Linked DNA regions of Schizosaccharomyces pombe. The protein of the gene in region 2 binds, or shares a complex with, the protein of the main gene of each other region. Each region holds a gene or a part of one and is shown on either strand. Other genes may lie near its edges.

What was found.
Region 1: rrp43 (region 2) and rrp46 share a complex: the UniProt entries of both Schizosaccharomyces pombe proteins name them as parts of the RNA exosome complex.
Region 3: rrp43 (region 2) and mtr3 share a complex: the UniProt entries of both Schizosaccharomyces pombe proteins name them as parts of the RNA exosome complex.
Region 4: rrp43 (region 2) and rrp41 share a complex: the UniProt entries of both Schizosaccharomyces pombe proteins name them as parts of the RNA exosome complex.

The regions. Positions count from the first base shown.
Region 1 is NC_003423.3:636,731-642,571, forward strand, and holds rrp46 (exosome subunit Rrp46), read left to right. Parts: upstream 1-2,601; 5' UTR 2,602-2,643; coding exon 2,644-2,698; exon of another isoform or gene 2,699-2,781; coding exon 2,782-3,407; 3' UTR 3,408-4,613; downstream 4,614-5,841. Other genes in the region: AFG1 family ATPase, read left to right, coding at 924-2,288; ndi1 (NADH dehydrogenase), read left to right, coding at 4,956-5,841. UniProt on the Schizosaccharomyces pombe protein: Non-catalytic component of the RNA exosome complex which has 3'->5' exoribonuclease activity and participates in a multitude of cellular RNA processing and degradation events.
Region 2 is NC_003423.3:3,331,182-3,336,237, reverse strand, and holds rrp43 (exosome subunit Rrp43), read left to right. Parts: upstream 1-3,292; 5' UTR 3,293-3,468; coding exon 3,469-3,512; exon of another isoform or gene 3,513-3,610; coding exon 3,611-3,946; intron 3,947-4,052; coding exon 4,053-4,485; 3' UTR 4,486-4,556; downstream 4,557-5,056. Other genes in the region: protein rhs1, read right to left, coding at 22-1,128; RNA polymerase I upstream activation factor complex subunit Acr1, read right to left, coding at 1,883-2,635; dph2 (diphthamide biosynthesis protein), read right to left, coding at 4,742-5,056. UniProt on the Schizosaccharomyces pombe protein: Non-catalytic component of the RNA exosome complex which has 3'->5' exoribonuclease activity and participates in a multitude of cellular RNA processing and degradation events.
Region 3 is NC_003423.3:3,885,480-3,890,530, forward strand, and holds mtr3 (exosome complex component mtr3), read right to left. Parts: upstream 2,839-5,051; 5' UTR 2,800-2,838; coding exon 2,685-2,799; exon of another isoform or gene 2,647-2,684; coding exon 1,988-2,646; 3' UTR 1,426-1,987; downstream 1-1,425. Other genes in the region: gamma tubulin complex GCP4 subunit Gfh1, read left to right, coding at 1-187; ubiquitin conjugating enzyme Ubc8, read right to left, coding at 533-1,087; uba1 (ubiquitin-activating enzyme E1), read left to right, coding at 3,217-3,222, 3,281-3,345, 3,454-5,051. UniProt on the Schizosaccharomyces pombe protein: Non-catalytic component of the RNA exosome complex which has 3'->5' exoribonuclease activity and participates in a multitude of cellular RNA processing and degradation events.
Region 4 is NC_003424.3:3,160,900-3,165,610, reverse strand, and holds rrp41 (exosome 3'-5' phosphorolytic exoribonuclease Rrp41), read right to left. Parts: upstream 2,485-4,711; 5' UTR 2,391-2,484; coding exon 2,388-2,390; exon of another isoform or gene 2,340-2,387; coding exon 2,300-2,339; exon of another isoform or gene 2,189-2,299; coding exon 1,503-2,188; 3' UTR 1,257-1,502; downstream 1-1,256. Other genes in the region: ppt2 (holo-[acyl-carrier-protein] synthase new8), read left to right, coding at 2,757-2,941, 3,000-3,088, 3,168-3,292; pdc201 (pyruvate decarboxylase), read right to left, coding at 3,669-4,711. UniProt on the Schizosaccharomyces pombe protein: Non-catalytic component of the RNA exosome complex which has 3'->5' exoribonuclease activity and participates in a multitude of cellular RNA processing and degradation events.

The DNA.
Region 1 (5,841 bases), 2.7 Mb from region 2:
GAAATATTAATAAGCCAAACCAAATAATCACAAAAAATACGTATATAGGCGTTTTATAAATATCTGCGTTTTGCTGGAATAATAGTTATGAAACTAATGAACGGAATTCAACTAAACATACTCTACAGCACCAATTAAATTCACTATCGATACGAACTTCTTTCTTCGGGATTTCCTTAAAATCACTTAACATCAATTGTCAAACTTATTAACAAACTGAAGCAATACTTGATATTGACCAAATTAATATTATTCTCGTACTTTTTAATTGAGTACAAAAAATAAAGTTGCCATTGTTTGTTGAATATACAAAAAATGGAAAAGAAATAAATAATACTTTAATAACATGAGTTCCAATGTATTATTGAAATTCCATGCGATTAACTTTTTTACTAATATACAGAATAACTCCACCTATCTGGGATCGTATGGAAGTATAGTTGCTTATACTTAGTTCCATTAAATTTAAAATTTTTTAAACAAGAAATTTTTTTATTAAGAACAGGTTTCTATTTACCAACGAAATAGGCTTGACTTACTAGTTTCAGATTAACATTTGCTCATGATTAAGACAATACGCAAACGCATATACCGAAATCATCGCAATTCACTATAATAAAAGCAAACTGCACTGCCGAACGCTATTCAGAGGCAAGAATAATCATGCATCTGTCCAACGATTTATATTTATTCACTTAAAAACATATGTCTTTAATCACTAAGTACGTCTTGTAGTTGACATATTTTCTTTCTAATCTTTTGCTTTTCATCTACAATCGTTCTACAGCTTTATATCCACTCTCACTTTATCATTCCTGAATGAATTCACTAATTGATCAATAACCACTTTTTTTCTTTACTTTAGTTAGCTTACGAAACATTATTTTTGTTCAAAAGTTTGTATTTAATTTGGTCATATCATCATGCTGCAAGTGCTTCGTGTTTCAGCTCCTTGTTTTGCTTTTGTTGATACTATAGGAAGCATTGGAGTTTGCAGGGTAGTTCGCTTTACCACATTTCATAATACACCTATTGAAGTATACAACAAGAAAGTTAATGACGGCGTATGGAAACGTGACCCGTATCAAGAAACAGCGGTTAAAGCAATCAACCGTTTGTATACCGAATTGGAATCGTATACACAACCTCCAATAACGCAAGATAGTATGCCAGCTGAAAAGGGATCAATCCTATCTTGGATATCCCCCTTAAAGAAAATGTTTTCTAGGAAGAAGTCTCCCACTCTAACTTCTTCTTTACCTGTACCGGGTATGCCTAAAGGTATATATCTATATGGTGATGTGGGCTGTGGTAAAACCGCTTTGATGGATCTATTTTATCACAACTTACCACCCAATGTTACTCGTTCTCAGCGCATTCATTTCCATGCATTTATGATGCAAGTTCATCGCACTTCACATGATTTGCAAGATCGTTATGGGTTTGAGATTGATTTTATAGATCATATTGCATCCGGAATAGCAAAAGAAACAACAGTGCTATGTTTTGACGAATTACAGGTAACCGATGTCGCGGACGCTCTTTTACTACGCAGACTCTTTGAGGCCCTTATGAAGTATGGTGTTGTTATCTTTATTACTTCTAATAGGGCTCCTTCTGATTTGTATAAAAATGGAATACAAAGAGAGAGCTTCATTCCTTGCATTAAACTTTTGGAACATCGTCTTCAAGTAATTTGTTTGGACAGTCCAAACGATTACCGACGCCTAAAATCTAAAACAGAAGATACATATCTTTATCCTGCTAATAGCCCAGAAGTTAAGAAAGCCTTGGAAAATTGGTTTCTTTGCTACGCTGATGAGAAAGATCCTGCTCACCAAGACGAAGTTGAAGTATTTGGGAGAAAGATAATCGTTCCAAAAGCAAGTGGCAACGTTGCATGGTTCACCTTTGAACAATTATGTGGAGAACCGAAAAGCGCTGCCGACTATCTTTCATTGGCAAGCCGTTACCATGTTTTCATCGTTTCAGACATTCCCAAATTGAGTATCGAGTCGAAAGACCTTATCCATAGGTTCATTACATTTATTGATGCCCTTTATGACACCCATGGAAAACTCATCTTATCATCTGAAGTTCCAGTTCAAGAAATATATCCGACAGCACCTTCTGAAGTACTTTCCTCTACGGCTGATCCTGCTGCCAAGGGGAAAATTGAATCTCACTATCATGGAGCATTTGGTGGGATTGAAGAGGTATTTACCTTCACGCGTTGCTTGAGTAGACTTTCAGAAATGAAAAAACAATCCTGGATTCATTCTCCTTAATACAAAGGTGATTCCTTTATAATGAGATTATATATCATGATGTATTATTTTTAAAAAAATATTTTGAAAGATGGCTATGAGTAATTTCTAATTTTTTAGTGGTTGGGCTGTTACAGATCATTCCAGTTTCTCCTATCATTCAGCTTTAGTAAAGTAAAAATTGGAAGAATTTAATTACAAACCCTTATTAATACAACTCCCATTGTCACCAAACTATTGATACATTTTTTTCTGCTCTCATTCTGTTTTCGAATAACGAGGTGTAAGCTAGCTTATTTCCTACTTGTGCAAAGGAAGTAGAAACGTTTCTTCTGTCTCTGCAAGCAAGCAACTTTGTTGCATTATAGAAGCTGAAATGAACCGTATAGGTATCCTCTCAAGGTCTGATGGCTCGAGCGAATGGAAACAAGGTAATGCTATTATCCACGGTATATTAGCCAAGCAAATGCCAATTAAAAAAAAATGAATTTTCTTTATGCTAACATCATTGTAGGTTCTGCTAGGGTTATTTGTGGTGTCAATGGTCCTATTGATGTAAAAATCAGGGACGAAAGGCTTAACAAGGCCACCGTTGAAGTTTTGGTTCAACCTGTGAGTGGTGTCGCTGAGACTTTGGAAAAGATGATTTCTAGCAGAATTGTTGGTATCCTAGAAGATGCAATATTTCTAAACACATATCCAAGAACACTTATACAAGTGTCAATTCAGATAATAGAGGAAGATGGCACAGATACATTGGCTGCCGTAATCAATGGTGCGGTACTTGCTTTATTGGACGCAGGTATCTCTTTAAAATATATTCCCTGTGCAATAAATTGTCACTGGAAGAACAAAATAACTCAAGATGAACCTGATGTCGATGGGACAATTAACAAATTGGAGTCTATTATTACTATTTGTTATTCAATTTCCTCAGAACCAGCCAAATTAATTTTTCTCGAAACAGCTGGCCCCATTCCAGAAGAAGATTTTTTCCGTGTTCTGGAGACAGCACCATTGCATGCCGAGGAAGTTTCTAAGAAAATGAAAGAATTGCTTTTTGAAACGTACAACGAGAGCGATGGTCATGAAAATGAAAAGAACCCCAAAGAGGATGTTGAGATGGATGTGGTTGCATAAGAAAATCAATAAAGTGCATGTAAAAAGTCCATCTCAAGGACCTTCGTTTCGTATTTACCATTGTACCTGTTAAACGACTATACCTTTGAACAATATCTTTGGCTGTTCATTTTTATACTTAGATTTTATATTACTTGGGCGATATACATTGGGTTATTTTTAATTTATTTTAGTTTATTACTAATTGAGAAACCAGAACCTAAACAATCCTACTACATTAGAAGGTTTACTGTCATTCTTTCAATTCACTAGCAATTAATGTGTTCTTTCAATACTTCAATGTATGCTGATACATTTGGGTTAAATCATAAAAGAAGATCTGTCATAAGACAATCGTTCAGTACAAGGCCTTGGGTATATACACTCATGACTTTTTTTTTTAATTTTGCCACTCACTCACTTACTCTATACATATTGAGTCTATCTAACGTATCAAGCTGTTAACTAAGAGAAACGATTTGAAAACACATAGGAAGGTCGCACACATTAGCTGTCTTATATACTACTGAATTTTAAGTTTAGGAAATCATTGAAGGTAAAATAGGTAGAAAAGTGAATAAAAGGCATTCATACCCAGGACAAAGCATTGCCTTCATAAACTGGGAATTTGCCATACACTAAAAAATTACTGTTGCACAACTTTTCCTAAAAAGTAATCTAATGTAGTAATATTATACTACAGCAGGTATTAATATTTTTTCACATGTCCTTTTTTTTATGTGTTCGCCAAATATGACGGTTATAAATTTAGTTAAATACTTTTGATTGAAGGTACTATTAGCTACAATTTATGAATAGAGATCAATTGACCCGGTTCTCAGTCCAGTTATAAGCTGATTCAACGATGAGTTACACCCTTCATGCCACAAAATTTATAGCATTTGTCACCCATATCACTTTTTTTAGGACAAATAACATACACTACCAATGTAACATTAAATGTGATAACACAGTGCGTTGCTAACATTTAGCAATTCTTTTCTTACCACGTAATACTTTTTATGGATAACCTTATTCCGCGTTATTTTTCCCCACTCACAGCACACTTGATTGCCGAGTCCAATCAAGTTGATATGAATAACCGTGATGACGGAATTAGGGCGCTTCGTAGACCTTAATTGTTTACATACAAAATGTTCAGCTATGCAGCCCTTTCGTCCACATTCAACACTCCCCCATCTCTTCTTAAAAAAAAAATAAGCAGAAAAACTCGTTTTCTGTAAAGTAGAAGGTATTTTAGAATACACTACAATTTTTTCTAGTAAAACTATTATTGGATACCTTTTTTTCGCAGTTCTAAAGGCTTATTTCTGCTAGTTATAGTAATTCACTGTGTATTTAGGAGAGGACTCAAGGTTGTCGTTCTCTCTTTCTATTACTGTCTATTAATATCGTAAAATAGCTCAATTTTGAATGGGTTTATCTCTTTAGTTTGCTTGCTCTTTAACATTTGTCATTATCTCATACATTTTTTTACTCACGCCTCCCTACCACTTATCACTTAGTCCTATTTAAGGGGAAATTTGTTTACTTCTTTTTTCTTAAAAAATGTCGGTCTCAAAAGCTAGACTACAGTCTGTGGTTCGCCTGTCTCGTACAGTGCCATATTCAAAAACGATGGTTCGTTCATTTCATGTATCCTGTGCTGTAAAGAACAGTGGGAATGTTCCTACACCCCGTAACAAATCATTTTTCTCTCGAGCACTTGAAATGGCGGAAGTTACTTCTTCTTTGTCCATGTTGGGTGCCGTAGCCCTCTTCCAATCCTTACGAAGACTGAACAACAGTTCGCCAAAAGGAAAATCTGGTGTTCCGAAAAAGAACATAGTTGTTTTGGGTTCTGGATGGGGTGCAGTCGCGGCAATCAAAAATTTGGACCCGTCCTTGTACAACATTACCCTCGTGAGCCCTAGGGACCATTTTTTATTCACCCCTATGCTTCCTTCATGTACCGTGGGTACTTTGAGACTTCCAAGTATTACTGAGCCCATTGTGGCTTTGTTCAAAGGAAAAATTGATCCCTCCAACATTCACCAAGCTGAATGCACTGCCATCGACACATCGGCTAAGAAAGTTACCATTCGTGGTACGACCGAAGCTAACGAGGGAAAGGAAGCGGTTATTCCGTATGATACGCTTGTTTTTGCTATTGGAGCTGGTAATCAAACATTTGGTATCCAGGGTGTCCGCGACCATGGCTGTTTTCTGAAAGAAGCGGGAGATGCCAAGAAGGTGTTTAACCGCATCTTTGAAATCTTGGAACAAGTTCGATTCAATAAAGATCTTTCTCCCGAGGAACGGGCTCGTCTCTTACACATCACTGTTGTTGGTGGTGGCCCTACTGGAATGGAATTTGCAGCTGAGATGCAAGATTTCATTGATAACGACGTTAAGGATATGTTTCCCGAGCTTCAAAAAGACATCCATGTCACGT
Region 2 (5,056 bases):
CGCATCAAGAAAATGTAGCAATTACCACACGTTGACACCTCCAAGAGTACTGGCACAGGGAGAAGACCAAATCTGAGAACTTAAAGCAGAAGTTGAGTTATGAGATTTAGATAGAGAGGAAGACAATCCAGACATATCATGATTGTTCCCGCTGTATTCTTGCTTGAAGTCCAAACTTAGTGTTGGTAGTGAAGAAGAAACAGAAGAGCCAGTGGACTGCGGAGAATCAGCAACAGCAGAAACATTGTTCACTGCTGTAACTGGTGTGGCATTTCCATTGGCAGCCGGTGGATTTGGAGGCCTCAGCGTTTGGTCAGTAGGAGTAGAACTATTACTGAATGCGATCTCTTTACGAGAAGGACGCGTACCGATCGGAGCTATCGATGAAGGTCGACGACGAGAAGGAATCGATAAAGATTCCATGTTAGCGGACTCTATGAAAGAAGAGGGCGTAAAGCTATTTGAAGCAGATTCAAACAACGAAAACCCAGCCGATTTTGAAGAAGAACGCAATGAAGAGGAGAGATTAGAAAGCCCACCAGATGGTAAACTAGCAGCACCGACAGTATTGTAAGAAAAGGAGGAGCGTGTCGGAGTAGCAAGATCATAATACGAAGAACGTGAATGATGAGCACTACTAGAGAGCAAAGACGTTGTGGATCTCCTGGGATGTAGTAATGAGGTACTAGCTTGTGAACCGAAATTGGAAGTAGCATTACCTGGTAACGAGCTTCCGAGCATGCTGGAACCAAAACCACTAGAACCGACCAAACCACTTGCCGGTTCAGCAGGAGACGTACCCAGCAGATTAGAGCCTGCAGTAGGGGTGCTCGAAAGTGTGCTTTTTAACAAACCAGAGCTGGGAACATGACTCATTGAAACACTGCCATTTAAGGCTTCGCTCAATGCACTCGTCGAAAAGGGGTTGTTCACTGAGGAGGCAAAACTATTTTTTCGACGAGGTGCAATCATACCATTTTTTACGAGATTGTCATAAGCCGATTCAACTTCTTCAAATTGACTTACAAAAGCCAAATCGTCCTCTGGCTGAACAACATTTGTTGGACCGAGCCCATCCCAATAAGAAGCGGCCGAAAACCAACTGTTGACTCCATCTACAAACGACATAAAGACAACTCGTTGTTTTTTTGAAATTGGCCTATTTTCAAAGTTTTAACCAAACGTTGTTTACTTCAAAAAAAATTTCCTGCCAATTGTGGTTTGCTTTGGATAGGTTCCTTTCACAGCGTTTACCAAGGAGCCGCTCCCAATATTTCGCTAACTTTTGTAATCGATAGTCTATTGTAACTGGGTTGCCATCCGGCAACTGTTCGTTCTTCGCTTCTCTATGACTTTTTTACTATTTCCGTAGTATTTGTTATCACTTAATCTCCACATTTTTTCTACATCGGACTTCAAGTTACAGTACCACGTGCCGCCCTTATTTTAAACGAACACACCATCAGCTTTGCATAGACTGTTAAATAGCTTATACAATTTAGTAAAACTGTGTAACTTAGATATATTGGAAAACAGTATCATAACAGTAAAGATTTAACCTCAGCAAATACTTGCCACTTCCAGTTTAAAGTGTAGGATGAACTTGTAAGCATGATAAAGTTGAAACAATATTCTTGTTGCGTAGAACCTTTTTCCTAGATCAACGCAAAAACAAAATAACTTAAAAAAAAAGAAAAGAAATTCGGATGCAGAAAAACTATATGTGCAAATACGGCGGGAGTTACACAAATAATTAAACATATACATCAGCCAAAAGATGTTTACTGGAACATTAATTGTTGAGACTTACGCAGATTGACCTGTTCACAGATGCGTGTTTTTTTTCAAAATACTCATACTTATTAAATTTCCCACCAATTTCTTAATCCTCAAATTCTATCGAGATTTCTGGGTTAGAGTGTGAAACTTTTTCAATATCAATACTAGGTTGTAACGACATCTCTTTGAATAATGATTGACAAGCTCTTGTACCATTGCCCAATGCAAGAACGTCTGCTTTTTGCGACGAGGAAAACGAACCGTTTGTGACTCGAGCAAGTCCGTAAAGAATCTTCCAATCCATAGGCTTTACACGTGATTGCATGCTTTTGCTTCCCTGTTCTTGTCGAAAAGTATCAACCGAATCAAAAAGGCGTTCCAATTTTATCTGTAACCTTTCAACCAAGTATCGGAGGCCATCCGGATTAGGCAGTTCCTCAGAAGAAGCCATTCTACCCAACTTGTGTAATTTTTTTGATGCTAAACGCACAGCCAAATATGCAGCCTCTTGGCGAAACCTCGAAGCCGAGGTTCCATCAAAAAATGATTCATCGGGGATGGAATGAATTGTAGGCCATACTGCACGTAGACGTGGTGGAATCCTTCGTTCATAACCGTCCAAATCGCTTTGCAATTCATTTCGACGAGTTATACCAGCTTTATAACTGCAATAAAGTTGAATACACAAATTTTTCATCTCAGATCTTCTCAGTTCGGAAACAATTTCTCGATACTCTATTAGCTGTGCGTATAGAGCATCTTGCTTTCGCATTTCTTTTTCATCCGAAGTATCCTGAGAAGAGGAAATATCCTCTTGACTTCCTTGCTGCTCTAATTCTTCCTCAGAATCATTCATAGCATCATTTCCTCAGAAGGTTTAGCATCCGGCTGTTGTGTTCGTAGGCTAGAGGTTAAGGAAAGGTCATTGTACCTGGCGCGATATTAAGTGTGTTTACTGACTTTTTTTTTTAATTTCCTTTAACTATAATCTAATAGAAAAAAACTTTTCCTTTTTTTTATTAATATAAGACTTTTGCTTCGTCTAACAACCGATAAACTAAGAGTGTGCAAATTTTGAAATATAAACATGCACCCAAATAACTTACTTTAATTTAAGAGCTATATATTATGCTACTTACCAAATTCCGTATGTATTCTGCTGACTTTTAATTGTTTAATTATGCCTTATTTTCTTTAACCATGGATCATTGTAAATTTTGTTATTTTACCTTTTTTTAAAAAAAAAAAAATCAGTAGAAAAGGCCTTAAATAAATTTTTTTCGAATTAGCATTTTTAAATGTTAATTATGTGATCTCTTTTTTCAAAATCGTTTAAACGAATTGGGATTTTGTAGCTAAAATTCAAATGAATTATCAATCCTTAATTGAAATTTGCACCGAATATACCTTCAATAAATTAAAAAAAAACCAAGGAATTTAAACATTTTAAGGACCTCACAAACCTTTTATTTACCATATAAGTTTTTCATACTTTACTTCGTACACCTATTTCATCCCTCTACTCCATTTCATAATTTCAACCTGTAGACAAAATTCAGCACATATATCGAATTCTTGTGATTCATATTCATTTTATATATTTTTCAGTATCGTTCTTCAGTTATTTGGTCTTTCTACGTTACTATATCATTTAGCTTCGTTATTGAAACACTACATTCTTTTCACATCATGAAAACTGTTTCGGGGGTAAAACAGCTTTCATTTACACCTTCGTAAGTTGCTCTTTGATTTCTTATTCTATCTTTTTTAGTGCTCTGTTTCCTTTTCACTTTGTTTTTCTTTGTTACAGTACTAACATTTTACTGGATAGAATTTTTAAGAAAATCACGCCTGAGCAGTATTTATCACATCTTCTTAATCAGGATGTTCGATCAGATGGGCGGTCTGTATCAGAATTCAGAGAAATTGTAATTAATGATAATTGCATATCTACTGCTAATGGTAGTGCTATCATTCGAGCTGGCGAAAATGTCTTTGTGTGTGGAATAAAAGCAGAAATTGCTGAACCTTTTGAAAACTCTCCCAATGAAGGTTGGATTGTTCCCAATCTTGAATTATCACCTCTTTGCAGTAGCAAATTTAAACCTGGCCCTCCTTCTGACTTGGCGCAAGTTGTCTCGCAGGAATTGCATCAGACTTTGCAACAGTATGTATCAAATTATTGGAATTTTTCTAATTTTCTACCATACGTTTCATTTATTGTTAAACTATCATTTAGAATATTTAGTTACTTTTACTAACAACTTATACAGATCTAACTTGATTAATTTACAGTCCCTATGCATTTTTGAAAAAAAAGCAGCCTGGGTATTGTATGCTGATATTATTTGTTTAAATTATGATGGAAGTGCCTTCGATTATGCATGGGCAGCTTTGTTTGCCGCTTTAAAAACTGTTAAATTACCAACTGCTGTTTGGGATGAAGATTTAGAGAGGGTTATCTGTGCTTCTACCCTTACAAGACCAGTTCAATTAAGTACTGAAGTTCGTTCTTTCTCATGGTCAGTATTTGACGACAAGTTGTTAGCCGACCCTACAGACGAGGAGGAGGACCTTTCAACTGAATTTTTGACAATTATGCTTAATAGCTCCAAAAATATTGTTAAGATAATAAAGCTTGGAGGCACTCACATTCAACCCCTTTTATTAAAAAAGTGTATTGAGGTTGCAAGGTCTAAGTTCTAACAAATTTTTGGGTTATCAAGGTGTATAAATTTTGAAAGTTTGAAAATATTCAAGTTCGTTTTTAATGCTTGAAACGTAATATTGATCTTGCTGTAATATAAAATACTATAGTCATAAAGCTAATTGATTTTCAAATGCTGTAGGAAATTTTTTTTATATAACTTATGAACCCTGTTTATCTCCTTTAACCAGTAAACTTTTTTTTGTCAAACTCTAAAACACAAGCATAGGAAGAATGATCAACTCAATACCCGATTTATTTACCAAAATCACGTTGAATCTTTTCTTTGCTGCCTTCACCAACATATCCTTTGGCGATGCCACTCTGTCCTTCGTATAATTTACTAGGACCTTCTCCTTCATCTACACTGTCAAGTCCCGACCAAGATTTTGACTGAAGAAACGCCGCTGCTGGAGAGTAAACCCCGTTCACTGCAAGACTTCTCATGCCACGCTTTTCTATAGAGGCTGAGGACGAGTCATTATTCTTTGCATCGGCAGTCTCAAGAGTAACGTCTAAATGTCGCATCGGGGTTGAATTCACAAACTTTCCAGTAATCAGACTAAAGTG
Region 3 (5,051 bases), 560 kb from region 2:
TTTACACATTTCTTTAAACTCGATTTACCATGAGCTTTCTTTATTTCGTAGTCAAGAAGTTTCGAAAGTTGACTGTCAGTTAGCTGCTCACGTATCTCATTCGATTGAATGCATACGACAGAAAGAAAATGATCCATCGTATGATAGGGAAATAATTAACGCGCTGATTGTTCAGCTTAATTTATAGGTAGATATGATCAATGTATTTATTTAATATTTTTTTTCTATTTTATTTAAATATTAGTTCTCATTAACTATGCATCATGGAGTTATAGTCGTAAATTATGCTGCAGTAACTTGAAGCTTCAAGAAAATAAACCTATTAAATATCGTTGTCACGACTACTGATTGAAAGCAAATTCAAACGGGTTTTGCAAGCGACAGCATGCAAAAAGAATCATTCAATGCATCAATAGAAAAAAAAGTGTAACAGATTTAGCTATCCATCGGTTTATTGAATGCCACAATCAGTATCCATAAAGAGAATTCAAAAAAGAATCAATGTATATCAAACAAAGCAACGTAACGAAATTTAAAAATCAGAGTCCATTGGACCAGCAATTTCATCGCCAGATTCAGTGTCAATAGAAGACATGGTGTCATCATCTGAAGAGTCGTTCAAAGTTATATCAGCGTCTTCTTTATTAGCATACCGAGCGATATAATCTCGAACCTTGGCATAGTAGGTATTCGGCTCTCGCAATAATAGAGCTGCTGCCTCTCCATTTAGAGGGTCCGACGCATTAGGATAACGGAGTAGCTGTGGAAGAAAAACCTCAAAAATATTAATCATATCAAACATTGGAGACCAAGTTTGATTTATCACGTCCAAGCAAACACTTCCACTAAGCTCATCGATATTGGGATGAAATATACGATTTACAAATCCAATACTTGGAGATTTCCAAGGATACTCACTTGGCAGTTCAACATGAACTTTCCATATTCCACCTGAGTAAGGGGTTTCAGACGGTCCATGGAACCTAACGTAAAATTCTTGCATATTATCATTGACAAGAGTTACCTCGTAATCACTCATCAGCAGCTTCATAACGTCCGTCTCAATTCTGCGCCTTGGGCTCGACATTTTGATTTTTTATAGTTTTATTTCAAAACTAAAAAAGAACTCAATAATTTTAAGCTAGTGTAGTATTCAAATACGGTAATTTGCTGCAATAAAGGCAAATTCGCAAATTCAGCAGTTTTCGAGTAATTTTCAATAAAATCAAATTATTTTGGACTTTTGGAAAGATTCTTAGCTTCCGTTTTAAATGGTTCTATCCTATTGTCCGTGAATATATCAAATTTTTAAAAGCAACAACTAATAATCATCAATGACCTAATTTAAATGAAAGCAATTTTATTGTATAGAAGAATCCCCTCTTTATCGTCCTTCTTATTGTTAAATATATTTTAATTTACAAACGAGGCAATTGAGCATAAGTTTGGCTATGATGAAGACGCGGAATTTCGCTGATTTGGAGGTTATAAGAAGCAGGTAACAGTATGTGAGTAACAATGATTCTAGTACTACCAAGATGCTTTCGTCTCAATGCAGCTTGATAAATTAGTATCAAATATATGTATTAATAAAATCTCAGCATTTGTTTTGTTCTATTGGAATCGATAAATAGACTGGAAAAAATTGGAAAGAGTTAATCGTTTGGCTACTGAATATATTCGCGAGTGATAAAAACTAAGATCTTTAATTTAATATTTACTCGTATTTTTCATAACAAACGTAACTTGCGGATGGCCAAGCTGATTTCAAAGAAGAAAATCTACTTAGGGAAGTCATCTGCTTGTTTGTCGAGAAAAGATAGCGTCTCCCTTCAAATGTGTGTTAAGGAAAAAAAGGCAAAACTTGAGCATTGCCAACTAATAGAAGAGAATTTTAAAAAGAAATAAATTTGATTATGTAATTTGTAAAATTGGTATAAATATTAGCCATCAACAGAATATTATTATAGAGGTAGAATTCCAATATCTAAGGATCTTCGGATTTCGACTTCTCTAGTAGCAGTGCATGATTAATTACTAACCGAGTATCTTTGGCATTCTTTATGCATTTTTCCGTCAAAAACGAAAGGCGACTCGGAGAGCAAGTGCCTCTTTCCCATACTTGAGTAACGTGACCAAGAGAAGCCATGTACCCCATAACTACAGAACCTTTAGCAGCCCTTGCACGCTCATCCACATAATCAGGATCAATCCAATATTCATCCGTATTGGGATTAAATAATACACTCGAGCCCGTCACCAAATCTATGCAGTCGATGTTAGCATCAGCTATTGCACTTGATGCGCAACTTATAGCAGCAGCCAATGTTGCTAATGCACCGTCACTTTCAATCACTTGAATATAAACGTCTATAGAACTTTTCGGATACAAATGCAGTAATATACTTGGAGAAATTGCTGCTTCAATCATTTGGGAATAGCTTTTTTCTTCGACGGTTTGTACATGTCCCTGACGAACAGAAGTAGAAAATGGGGATAATCTAAATTCACAATTCAACTTTGCTGATGAACGAAAAGCAAAAGTCTTACTAGGTCGAGGACCAGAGACTGTGCATGCAATTTTTATTTTTTCTGATTCAAAATAACTGCTACCGACAGCTTTAGTAGCCCACCCTAATTTTAGATCTAATTGTCAGTGAAAATGTTAATAATCGGTATCTTACATATTTTTCGACATCTGTCAACATCACGAGTCCGCGTGAAAACAGGTTGTTCTGGCTCTTCAAAATAAGGGGGAACGGATACACTCGGTCCATACACTCTCTTTCTATCTGACATCGATTTATAGAGTATTTGTTTTAACCTTGATGTACCGTTAAGAAAACAATACAGAAGCAGCCTGGATTTTCAGTGGTGGCTTCGCGTTTTGGGATGACGCGTTTGCATGCCTTAATATATATAACGATATTGTTTGATTCGGTGTATATATGACATATAGAAAGCAATTTTATCGCATCTAAAAGATTTTTGTAATGACTAAGCGTTTCAATCAGTAAGCTGGAAAATAAAAATGCTTTTAGAATAATGGTGCAAAATTTTTTTTTATCCAGCCAGCATACTTCAAGTGCGCGCTCTTAAATTTAATGAGTAATAAATTGTTAAGCATGTGTAACGAAAGAGCTCGCTATTTGAACATATAAAAACACTATATTATAGCCTACGTATGACTCTCCTCTGCCAACACCACGTTTCGTAATGAGTGTATGTAATTTGTTTAAATGATTCAAGTATTTTTCGCTTCTTACTAACATTGCAAAAGAATAACATGAACATTGATCAAACGGATCAAAATACTATCGATGAAGGGCTTTACTCTAGACAACTGTAAGTTTTATTAGAAACATGAAGAGTCATTATTACCGGTGTTGATTTGGTTTAGCTTTATGTTTTTATATTCTTTCTTGTACTGAGCGCTTGCTAATTTATCTAAAGTTATGTTTTAGGCCATGAGGCTATGAAACAAATGAGTCAGTCGAATGTCTTAATCATTGGCTGCAAAGGTTTAGGCGTTGAAATAGCAAAGAACGTTTGTCTAGCAGGTGTAAAAAGCGTTACTCTTTACGATCCTCAACCTACACGCATTGAGGACTTATCATCACAATATTTTCTTACAGAAGACGATATTGGTGTTCCTCGTGCAAAAGTAACGGTATCAAAGTTAGCAGAGCTTAATCAATATGTGCCTGTTTCTGTAGTTGATGAACTTTCAACAGAGTATCTAAAAAACTTCAAATGCGTGGTTGTCACAGAAACTTCTCTTACGAAACAGCTAGAAATTAACGACTTTACACACAAAAACCATATTGCTTATATTGCTGCTGACAGCCGTGGTCTTTTTGGATCGATATTTTGTGATTTTGGTGAGAACTTTATTTGTACTGACACTGATGGAAATGAACCTTTAACTGGAATGATCGCTTCAATTACTGATGATGGAGTTGTTACCATGCTTGAAGAAACTCGTCATGGATTGGAGAATGGTGATTTTGTTAAATTTACCGAAGTGAAGGGTATGCCTGGTTTAAATGATGGCACTCCTCGTAAAGTTGAAGTGAAAGGTCCATATACCTTTTCTATCGGATCTGTTAAAGATTTAGGAAGTGCCGGTTACAATGGTGTCTTTACCCAAGTTAAAGTTCCAACCAAAATATCTTTCAAATCTCTCCGCGAATCGCTCAAGGACCCTGAATATGTATATCCTGACTTTGGTAAAATGATGAGACCTCCACAATACCACATTGCTTTCCAGGCCCTTTCAGCATTTGCCGATGCGCATGAAGGTTCATTGCCTCGACCCCGTAACGACATTGATGCAGCTGAATTTTTCGAATTTTGTAAGAAAATTGCAAGCACACTTCAATTTGATGTTGAACTCGATGAAAAACTAATTAAGGAAATTTCATACCAGGCAAGAGGTGATTTGGTTGCAATGTCCGCGTTTTTGGGCGGTGCTGTAGCACAGGAAGTGTTGAAAGCTACCACCAGTAAATTTTACCCATTGAAGCAATACTTCTATTTTGACTCCTTAGAAAGCTTGCCATCTTCTGTAACGATCAGTGAAGAAACTTGTAAACCTCGTGGCTGTCGATACGATGGGCAAATCGCTGTTTTCGGTTCGGAATTTCAAGAGAAAATAGCTTCTTTGAGTACGTTTTTGGTTGGTGCTGGCGCTATTGGATGTGAAATGCTGAAAAACTGGGCTATGATGGGTGTCGCTACTGGTGAAAGTGGTCATATTTCTGTTACTGATATGGACTCCATTGAAAAATCGAATTTGAATCGTCAATTTCTCTTTCGTCCTCGTGACGTCGGAAAGCTGAAGTCCGAATGTGCTTCTACCGCTGTTTCAATCATGAATCCTTCATTGACTGGTAAAATAACTTCATATCAAGAACGTGTTGGACCAGAAAGCGAAGGCATATTTGGCGATGAATTCTTTGAAAAGTTATCTTTAGTCACGAATGCTTTGGATAACGTCGAAGCTCGAATGTATGTTGACCGCCGTTGTGTATTTTTCGAAAAGCCATTAT
Region 4 (4,711 bases), on a different chromosome or scaffold from region 2:
TAGTACCTAGAATGAGAAAAGCCGCTTTAAATTAATTACAAGTATTTTCCAAATATGTTAATATAAAAAGAAGCAAATCATCAACAAAAAAAGATGAGCCTACAGCACCCCGGATTCCCATGTTGTCTCCAACCATAGTACTAACGAGGCCCTCAGACGCTTAACTGCAGTGATCGGACGGGAACTGGTGTTTTCGCCTAGGTATGGCCGTAGACGTTTAAATAGTATATTTATAACATGTATAAGCAATAAGTTTTTGAAGGCAAAGATAGAAAGCATTTAGGGAAACTGATGTATTCAATCAAACTGATAAAATTAAAAACTGTTGAAGGCATATTTCAGTATGCTGTCTAGTAAAAACAATTGAAAACAATAAAACGTACAAAACTTAAATCAGGCCGCGATGAACTGGTATGTATATAATTGCCAGATATTTGCGCAACGGTATTCTTGACAGTGCTATGAAAGCATCAAAAACAGAAAGGGGAAACTTAGTCATGCAGTTTGACGAAGTTTCATTTTTACTTTGGTTGAACGGCACGAGATTCCTCATTTTTAAAACGAAGGTAATATTAACTGTTGATCCTACAGCGATTCTTCCATTTTATTAATCAAGATGTCCTTGAAATCAGCAATCAACTAGTAACGGCAGAATTTGAGTATGTATATTCGATGAATTGTGAGAAACCCTATTTACAAGAATATGCATTAATAAGTATCTTAGTATACTCATTTTGTAGCTTTCAATGCTTATTAGAAAGGCCGATCTGTGATCGAAAAATATAAAAACTGCTCCGGCAGTGACTCGAACACTGGACCTCCTGTTTACGAGACAGGCGCTCTACCACTGAGCTACAAGAGCTACTGTTAGTTTGCACCATTATAGAAATATATAAAATAAAAATACTGTGTTTTTCATATTTTAACATTAACAAATTTAACATTTATCTCGAAAAACAGTTTTACGATTCTCATAATAAACCTTAGGTTTCTTATATCTAAAAATCTAAAAAAATATATATATATATATATATTTTCTTTTTAATCCACATCAATCTGTAATATCTGTTGAATGAAAAATTCCCGGTTGTTTATGAAAGCCTCCCCCAAAAAATAATCAATTTATTATAATAAGTGAGATCTGAATAACCGAATTTATTCATAAAATCTTCAACTAATTAATGAGCCTTTTTTGATGCATAATATCTACAGTACAATCCATATTTTTTGTAATATAAGCCCCTTTAGACAAAAAAGGGACGCAATCATTAAAAGATTATATACGATATTCGAGGTGATTTTTTTGATACTTATACAGAAATACCAAGGATAAGGACAAAAACGTTGTACTAGGAATAAAATGAGTAAAGCTGTATACGTTTTGTCAGAATATCGTAGAGCTAAGTAAAGTTGCAATTGTGATGACTTATCAATGTATAATTATAAAAATTAATCTTCCCGTTCATTTATTTTTAATAGTTTTTTTCCCCAAAATTTTGTCATTAGCTGAGACTTGCAAGTGCCGGTTTAGCGCTTTGTCGAACCGCACTTTGCATCGTGTTATAAATATGTTCTGATCCAGCGATCGCCATATTCATTACTGACTCCAAATAATCCAAATGCATACTAGTTTCCAGCTGCATATATACGACCTTTTTTATGTTCCCCAAAACAGCAACCGTCAACCATGAAAGAGCTGACTCCTCTAGTGAGTTTAAATCCAACAGCATATCAGACTCAACAATCCCAGCTGTACTACAGCAAACGAAATCTTTAACTGGTATACCAGCATCTATTAAGGCAAGAGTAGTAGCGTTGATACAAGATGCCATTACTGCACCATCATCTTGTAAAACATGCAAGTAGACAGAAATTTGACTTCTGGGATATAATTCTGTTTGAATTATCTCCTCAAATGTATTTTGTAAAGCTAAACATTGCAATTGAATTCTCCTATCCGATTTAAATCTCTTTTTCACATCTATTGTGCTGAAAGAAGCAATGTTTATTTCGACATTCACAAATGTTCTGTCAGCTCTAGCTTTGGACTTTATTACAGGCTCCGAGGGTCCATCGACTATACACAAGACCTTTGTGTTACCCAATTCAATAAACGCCGACCCATTCTCCGAAGGCTCGATTCCAATACGACACTGAAAGTTTCTCATCTCATCCCACCGTCGACCATCTTGCAACAAATATTAGCACACAGAAAGATTAATACATTTTATAAGAATCATAGATGTTTGAATGTAAATTTTAAGTTTCTTTTTCATTTCCCATAAATGAATTGGCTTACCATTTCGAAGACCTTCAAGGGATAAAATCTCAAAGTGTGACTATATGGTTAGTACTCGTATTATCTAGAGATAAATTCTATCTCTTACCATATGAAATTTTTTTTTTCGTGATTGAAAGGATTACAAATATATAATTTTTGGTTCCCTTTGAACACTTTTGTAACTGGGAGTGAGTAGAGAGTACACTTGTTACAGTAAAAACTCCTGCTACTGCATTCGCTACGAAACGAATTGGATTTGATGTCTTTGGGGGCACTAATCGATAATGAATTAGATAAATTTATTTCATTTTATTTAAGGATAAAGATTTTTATATCTCGTTTAGTGTGTCGGAAATTTAGTTTACAATATATTATTAATTAAGCGTTCAAAATTATTGAAGCCATAGATTTCTTTTTTTCTTCTTGCATTACCATTAATATTTCCTGTTCATGTTATAAAGAATCAAAAATCGAAATGGGTTTAGGGATTGACATTTTAAAAATTTCAAGAATCTCAAGATTAATTCAACGCTCTCCTGAATGGGAAAAGAACTTTTTAAAAAAATGTCTGTGTGAAAATGAAATTAAAAAGTACAACCTGATTAAAAGCAATTCCTCGCTGCCTCGTTTAAGCGAACAGGCTAAATGGCTTGCTGTTAGGTATGCTTGTCTATATTTATGATCGTTTCATAGTTTTAACGGTTATTTTCCTATGTAGATGGTGCGTCAAAGAAGCTGTTTTCAAAGCTTTACAACCGAATTTTCGAGTTTACATGTCTATGATGGAGTATGTTCGAACTCCCACAGGTGTGTCATTTGTTTTCCATGTTCAATGTTTAAAAATAAAAGGTTTGTAAAGTTACTGACTTTGTTATGATTAATATAGGCTACCCTTCCGTTGTTATTCATGATCCCCGATTTCCGCTTTCTCCCGTAATGGTATCTGTAAGCCATGAGGAAGATTTGGTTGTAGCGAATGCTTTGTATCTACCATCTATGCCAAAGACATAGACGAGAGACCAAATTGAAGGTACTATATTATTTAGTGATTCTATTGCTGCTACTCATTACCAGTCGTCTCAATGACCTTTTTTTATGTTATTGAGTTTATACTAACAGGGAATTATCTGGACAAGTCTACCTTGGAGTAAGGGGATGCAAAAAGAAAAAAAAAATAAATCATTCAATGAATCCTAATTACCAACAAAAAAACAACCGCTGCATAAACTTCAATATATTCATTCATTTTATGAAAGAAATATGGATTGACGTAGAAAAAAAAAACGACTGTTGCAAATTAACTAACCTAACAAAAGCATCATTTGAGAAATATTGTAAATTTCAAAATCAAAAACATATCATAATAATATAGCCATAGCCATATTTTTTACTGCTTGTTAAGAGAAGCGGTAAGTTTGGCTTGCTCAATCAAAACACGAGGAGCATCCAAGACAGGCATATGAACTTCAACGAGCTGAATTACATCAGCTTTTCCAAATTCCTCATCTTTAAAGAGATCGAGGAGCTCCTTTTCTGAATGAATGTTATAGGAGCGAGAATTTTTGGCACCATAGCCTTTAAGAAGGTTTTGATAGTCCCATTCAGTGTTGATGTCGTTGTAAACAGCGTGAAGACCGTGAATGAGACGTTCAATTGTATATCCCTTATTGTTAATTACAAATATGATAGGGGTGAGACCGTTACGGATGGTAGCAGAAATTTCCTGAACAGTTAAATGAAGGGAACCGTCACCAACAATCAATATGGAACGACGGTGAGGAGCATCGGAATCCTTGATGCCCAACGTAGCACCAAACATAGCGCCAACCGACCAACCAATTGAGCCCCATAATACCTGTGAGAGATTTTGGCAGCCTTTGGGGAAAATGCAATCCAAAATACCAAAGTTGGAGGTACCTGTCTCGGTAGTCACTACATCGGACTCACGAAGAAAAGAGGCAAACGTAGGCCAGAACCATTTGTGGGTAATGGTTCCTTCGGCGTAACCCTCAGCAGCAACAGCCTTTGGTGGCTCAAAGTGAACAGGACGGGCCTTTGCCTGAACGGACTTTTTGTCAATGGCAGCGGTGAGCTTGGGCAACAAATGTTTCATCGAAATGCCCTCGTAAACGCCAGAACGAATTTTGGTGTAGTCGGAATGAAATTCGATGGTTTGAGATGCAGGGGTAGCATAAGTAAAGGTGCCCGAGTTGAAATCGGAGCGAAGACCACCGATGATGAGAAGCAAGTCAGTAGATTCGGCACGTTCTTTGATGGAAGGCTCGGTCAAGGAGCCAATGTAGACGCCATCAAAGTAGGGGGATGACTCATTGATCGCAGTCTTACCCATGGGAGTAACGTAAGTGGGGAAATGGGTCGCATCAATAAAGTCTTGGGTTTCCTGTTGAATGTGGAAGCGGGAAACACAAG